Linked DNA regions of Xenopus tropicalis. The protein of the gene in region 1 binds, or shares a complex with, the protein of each later gene. Links are inferred from orthologs where the notes say so. Each region holds a gene or a part of one and is shown on either strand. Other genes may lie near its edges.

What was found.
Region 2: the proteins of cckar (region 1) and cck are in contact, whole or in part, in a cryo-EM structure (PDB 7MBX), measured with the Homo sapiens proteins. The link is inferred for Xenopus tropicalis from reciprocal best matches to the Homo sapiens genes CCKAR and CCK. Residues at the interface, in NP_000721.1 of Homo sapiens: Cys94, Phe97, Asn98, Pro101, Asn102, Lys105, Asp106, Phe107, Thr118, Met121, Gly122, Val125, Tyr176, Phe185, Asn194, Met195, Cys196, Arg197, Phe198, His210, Leu213, Leu217, Ile329, Phe330, Ala332, Asn333, Arg336, Ala343, Glu344, Leu347; in NP_000720.1 of Homo sapiens: Asp96, Tyr97, Met98, Gly99, Trp100, Met101, Asp102, Phe103.

The regions. Positions count from the first base shown.
Region 1 is NC_030677.2:32,073,943-32,076,755, forward strand, and holds the end of cckar (cholecystokinin receptor type A), read right to left. Parts: coding exon 2,344-2,813; 3' UTR 501-2,343; downstream 1-500. UniProt on the Homo sapiens protein: Receptor for cholecystokinin. Mediates pancreatic growth and enzyme secretion, smooth muscle contraction of the gall bladder and stomach. Has a 1000-fold higher affinity for CCK rather than for gastrin.
Region 2 is NC_030682.2:54,400,208-54,404,198, forward strand, and holds the start of cck (cholecystokinin B), read right to left. Parts: upstream 2,801-3,991; 5' UTR 2,719-2,800; intron 1-2,718. UniProt on the Homo sapiens protein: This peptide hormone induces gall bladder contraction and the release of pancreatic enzymes in the gut. Its function in the brain is not clear.

The DNA of each region.
Region 1 (2,813 bases):
CATTTAACCATTAAATAAACCCAATAGGGCTGTTCTGCCCCCAATAAGGGGTAATTATATCTTAGTTGGGATCAAGTACAGGTACTGTTTTATTATTACAGAGAAAAGGGAATCATTTAACCATTAAATAAACCCAATAGGGCTGTTCTGCCCCCAATAAGGGGTAATTATATCTTAGTTGGGATCAAGTACAGGTACTGTTTTATTATTACAGAGAAAAGGGAATCATTTAACCATTAAATAAACCCAATAGGGCTGTTCTGCCCCCAATAAGGGGCAATTATATCTTAGTTGGGATCAAGTACAGGTACTGTTTTATTATTACAGAGAAAAGGGAATCATTTAACCATTAAATAAACCCAATAGGGCTGTTCTGCCCCCAATAAGGGGTAATTATATCTTAGTTGGGATCAAGTACAAGGTACGGTTTTATTATTACAGAGAAACAGAAAATCATTGTTTAAAATTAGAATTATTTGATTATAATGGAGTCTATGAGAGATGGCCTTCCTGTAACTCCCCCTTTTGGATAACGGTTTTCTGGATAACAGATCCCACACCTTTATGCACTTACTTTTTGGGCCTTTATAAGGCTAACTAATAGAAACAACATTATTCAGTATGTTTTTTCCCATTCTGTTTATATTTCGTTCCCCAGAGTTGCTGCACTCGGGCTCGGCACATCACTCTCACTGCTGAGATGACATATGGTCCAGCTCTCACACTGCAGTCTCTCTCCCTCCTCAAGACTGTTGAAGTCACAAACAGGTGCAGAGATATTTTGGCAGATTTCATATCCTGTTTGTTGTTTTCAGTAGGCCAATAAATACAGCGCGTGACACATTATTTGCCTGGACGCCAAGATTTTTCTCCAACTCTAAACCTGTCTGGGATTGGCTGCTGAATCCAGACCATATCAGCAGCTTTTTAGCCTATGTCTAGGGCTAAATAGTAGGTCTGGCTTGGGACAGGCCAAATATTTATCAGGCAGGTTAAAAAATCCCATTGGGTTAGGCCCACTGTGGGCCGCTTCAGCCATTTAAGAAATGCTGTTTAATGTGTATAGTATACTGTACAATCGATATAGATATATATGTTTGAGCACTTCATTCATTAGCTGTTGGTTTGGTATGGTTGCCCTAGGTACAACTCTGGGCAAATTTCCATTTATCTACACTGGGCAAATTTCCAACTGACCAGTAACCAATGGAAACCAATAAGGTGTTTTTGCATTTATTGTTCTACCTTCAGCTGGCTGGAAAAAAAGGCAAATCACTAAGTAGTTGCGTGGGTTACCACCAAGGCGCAACTTTGCCCACTGATGATAAATGAGCAGCTTTCTGGATACAGGACACAACACAAAACTCACATGACCGTACAGTCCCAGGACACAGACAAACTTAATCACAAAACAATGCACAAGCATTCAGGGTAGACTGGCCCACCCAATCCTGTTGGGAAGCTTCAAGCTAAATTAAAGATGGCTGTGCTTCCCACTGTAAAATGCACGGGCATGTTTAATATGTCCCAGGAGGTGTGGCCTGATTGACGCTGGCAGTGTAAGCATCTGTGTGGTGGGGCGCAAAAGGGGTAGACAGGGGTGTGCAATGTGCTATTGACTGGGCCCTTGGCTTGGGAACCTGTGGGACCTCGGTACCCCAGTCCGACACTGCAAACATTCCACAATGCAGTTAATCCCAATATCACAATACAATTTTGTAAAGGAGTCCTCCTCCCAAAATAATGATTTTGTTTGCTGAATTAATGAATATACACATTTTAAGCACCTTTCCAATGTACATTCATTAAAAATGCCCAGTGGCCGTAAAGTAATTTGTAACACAGTGTATGTTTATCCTTTCCTGTTCTCTGGGTCTCACTTGTACAACATGAGTCAGTTCTCCTCCAGGGCAGTTAATCAGCTGACTTGCAACATTGGTTCAGGAGTCAGAGCCAGCAGTGCAGAAAATGTAAACACACAGGCAGGTACTGCTTTTAATAGCAACTACAAGTAACACTGAAAATCCCTAATGAACATAGATTGGAAAGTTACTTAGGATGACTCCACCCACTGTGACCCCTCCTTTAGGTACCTGTGAAATCCATCAGCCACTTATTCATGTTTACATCCGGTTGGCACAGCCCATTTGGTAGCCATTTTGTACAACAGACTAGTAAAGCACAGGATTATCCCAATGACTGTCCCACTGGAGACTGGGGATAACAGTACTAACACAGGCCAAGTTATAGTTAAACCAATTAATTCAGTTTTCAGGTAATGCCACTTAGTTCCACAAACAACCCATCGTGCCTTTATTTTGTGTCTTGCTTTTACTCTCAGTGTCATGTTGGGGCTGATGCGGTGGCACAAAGACTGATATTGGTGTAAGTGTATCGGGACAGAGAAGCCCCAGTGGTCCTCCCCTCTTCATCTGCCACTCCTGGGACCATCCTCCTGCCTTGGGCTCCCCTGCTGGAACAGCAAGTGAACGTTGCCAGGAAGCCCATGCGGAACCGCTTGTTCATGAAGCAGTATATGATGGGATTGACGCAGGCAGAGGTGTAGGAGAGCAAGTGGATGAAGGAAATTGGCACCCCCGACAGGCTGATATCTGCTGAATCCGTGTCAAAGGCTCTCCAGGCATTTGCACTGAAGACAGGGGTCCAGCAGATGAAGAACAGGATGACAATGACGATCAGCATACGGATGACTCTCTTCTTGGCCATGAGATTGGCAGCTGAGCTGTTGCTCCTTACTCGTTCAATCTTGGCACTGTGGTGGCTGGAGAGCTGATGCATTTCTAACTTCTTCC
Region 2 (3,991 bases), on another chromosome or scaffold:
GAATTACAAAACCGTGTTAGGAAATAAAAGATGTAATGGATATAAGGAAAACAAGAAAAAGCACCATATAATAAATATTTATAGGGTAAAAAAAATTCATGTAACTACTTGCATGCCAGGGTAATTTAAAGTGCAGCCTTCAGTTTCTGTGATGCATTAAAACAGATGGATTTCTTAAGAATTCCATGAAGACATGGCTGTCAGCTTTTAAAGCTTGCTGACAGAGATGGTCCAAAATGCTTTGGCAGCCAAGGCAATGGTGGCTATCTAACCCCCACTTTGACCATAATACTCCCACTACCCATGGTCCCATCACACCATTACCCCTTTCCAGAAGACATAGGGGCAGATCTATTAAAATGTGAGTTTAGAGGTTAATACATAAAAACTCACCCATGTTCTATTCATTCCTATGGGATTTTTACAACCATATTTATCAATGGATGAAAGTTAGAACTCACCATGTGACAAATACACTTCTAAAAATCCCATAGAAATGAATAGAACGTGGGTGAGTTTTTATGTATTAAGCTCTAAACTGACATTTTGATAAATCTGCCCCTTAGTGTTGGAAACAGACCAGATGCTATCAAACCCGATTATTTCCCAAAAAATGATGTGCCCTAGGCAGATGCCTTTAATGCCTACGTCTAGTTTCAGCCCTACTTATTCATACTTAAAAAGGGCTGTATCATCATATTAGTTTGTGTTTATACAAACAGACTAATGTAGAGTTGTAGAATATATATATATATATATATATATCACACAGTACTATCTGTCCCACTCAGGACTAAGCCATTTCAGAAGCCTGAAAGTATTATGTCACATTTGGGGTCTGTGATGCAACTACTGTCTAATTTGAATGGTTAGCCCAAATATTTTTGGTTTCAGATTTGTAATATTGGGTACCAGCCGCCAAGCACCAACAATCCTAAAATGTTAAATTCTTTTAAACTGTTTTGCTTCTCCTAAACTAATAATTCTAGGGTTTTGTACCCTACAGTGGCAACCCTAACACAAAAGAATGGCTAGACCAAGAAAAAACACAATATTCGGTACTACATATATTGATGAACTTTAGCTGATCTCCAACTGGTCAACAATGAATAGTTTCCCAAAATCTACAGTACCACGGCTTCCCTATTCCAACTTTTAACCTCTGCACATTTTAACACATCTGTATTAAATGTCTCACGAAAAAGCATTAAAAGCCTACTGACATCAACAGTGGCTAATTACTTTACTCAAGTGAACACACACATATTTAAGGAACAAATAACATGAATGACATGATATATGAATGATGTCCTTTTTAAGGAGAATAGCTTCCCAAAGATATTCTTAGTATTCTGCAACTGCACCCCTATTAGCCATAGATGACAGTTTTTCCTTTTTTGTCAGTATAGAAGCGATAAGGAAGCTATCTTTTATAAGCAGATATGGAAAGCAAAATCTTCCTTATAAGCCAGCATATTTATCTTTAAAATATGCTAAATATGACCATGAATAGACAAGGATCTGAAAGAAAGGGAGACCAATGCATGATAATGTGCTGGATCCCTTCCTGCTTCTGACTTTCCTTGTCCTAATAATGCAGAAATCAAGATTTTCTGATCCAAGGACTGACAGATCTGCAATGCATGTCAAATATAAGTGAAATCATTACAACTAATGTAGTCTCAACATAATGAAGTTAATATAGTAAATGACTGGCAAAAAGGTATTTCTCAGTCTGGTTACACCCTTCCCAGATGTTCCATATCGATTTGCCTTTACAAAAAAAACTATATATTTTTTTTTTTTTTAAAAAGTCTGCTGTTCGTACGTTCCCGTTGTTTCAGCCCCAAGGCTTTCTGCATTACCCGTATTAATCAAACAGCAGCGCAGCGCAGGAATCTAGGATATCCTTCCGCCTTGCACTTCCTTACCTTTCTCTGCTCAGCAGATCGCCTTCCTGGATGTTGAGCCCCTAAGAGAGATAGCCTAAATCCTTTCTCCAAACATTATCATTTACACTGCTGGGCCAGATCTATAATGTTGACACTGGTCGCAGCCCTTTCCTGATGTATAATCCGTTTAAAACCGATTCCATCTGTTAAATTCAATCCCTTACTACACGTCCATGAGCATGGCTGCACATCGATCAGCATTATCACATGTAGGTATCTCTTATCAGCCCATTAGTATTACATGATAATTATGGTTTTGTTAGCCGTCCGGCCCAGGGCAGCTCAGTAAGAACAAACACCTTTGACCTGTAGTATTTTTTATATGTCGCTCAATTATTGCATAGTTAAGGAAAAGCCTGGCATTAACCCCATAAGTTAGAAAAGTATGACGATCAAGTACATAGTATTGAAGGGTCACAGCGAGCGATCGGCGAGCGGCAGTCGGAACAATGCGCCGCATTAAGGAACTGTCTGTGGTGCTGATTCCTGCGCTCAAATCGCGCAATAGTACGGCTACTTTACTCTCCTGCTGACTAGAAACACATACAGCAAATAAATATCTGCCTTACCTAGGCTCTGACCTGTTCCTATAAGTAATTGAATTAATGCATAGTCAAACAAAGCCTGCCATTTATGCCATGATCGTAGAACACTTATACTGAACTGAACACGTTAAGATTAGGAACTTTCATAGTGCTGATCCTGGTGTTTCCAAATTCTCAGCATTCAATGCAGTAGTTAGGCTAAGGAATAAAACATTTCTTACCTAGGTCCTTCCCAAGATGTAAAAGATCTGATAAAATGTTGCTTGTTATCAAATCCCACTCTGAAATTTGCAGCTTTACAAAGGCCTATTTATAGGGGTCTTAACAATGAGCTAGAATGACGTGTGGTTTAGAGGGGGGTATAAGCTCCCACCTGAACTTTAAAGAAAGAAATGCGTCAGGCTGTCTCAAGCACCCAGAAACACAAAGGATGATGGCTAGCTGATAGTTATGTTTTCATAATGAGATCTGGATTTATGTGGTGAATCCTTAAAACATGAGCTATTAATTAGTTAATGATAGCATCACGGGAAGTGCTATTTATTTGCATATAGGCATTTTTATCTCGTTTTGCATAAATTATGTGAATTGATGCGAGGCTGCAATGTTTGGAATGATTCTTATGTTCTTAATTCATAATAATGTAATGAGTGTATGCTTTTAAATCAAGGATCCATTTACTCTCCTTTCCCTGATTTATTTAAATATTTACTGATAACTAGAAAGGGAAGTTTGAGAACAAACTTCATGTTGGGTTGAAAAATGTGAAGTTACTGAATGAAATCTGATCTGTTGTTGGCTCGCCCCACTTTTTCTAACCACAGTTATATAGTAATAACCACTGTGCAAAGTTTGGGGACCTTGGTTTTAATAGTGTCTGAATAGCAGCAATTTATTTTTCCCCACTGAAAGTCAACGAGTGACATCTGATTGGCGGTTGGTGGCTCCACTTTCTCTAACCTGGACATGCTGTTACCCAGTGACTAACTCTGCAAAGTTTAGGGACTCTAGTATTAATAGTTAAAGAACGGCAGCTGTTTACATTTAAACCAATAAAAGTCAATAGGCAAATTGTGATTGGTGGTTGGTGGCTCCGCCCACTTTTTCTAATCTTGAGTCGACGTCACCCAGTGACAAACAGTGGGCACTCTGGCATAAATAGTGTGAGAATGACAGCATTTTAAATTTAAACCAATAAAATTCAATGAATGAAATCTGATTGGCTGTTAATGGCCCAACCCCTATTTTTTAACTGCAGTCCTCCAGTGACCAACTTTGCAAAGTTTGGGGACAAAGTTTTGGGGCGTAAAAATTGTGGGAAAAAAGAGTTAATGCTGTTATATGAGATTTGAACAATGAACTAAGTATAAAATACTGAGATTTGAACAATGAACTAAGTATAAAATACTGGTCAGGGTCTTTGAGATAACAGCAACATGGTACATATATTGTTTTTATAAATCAGATGGTTTTAATAATTATTTATTGCTTAAT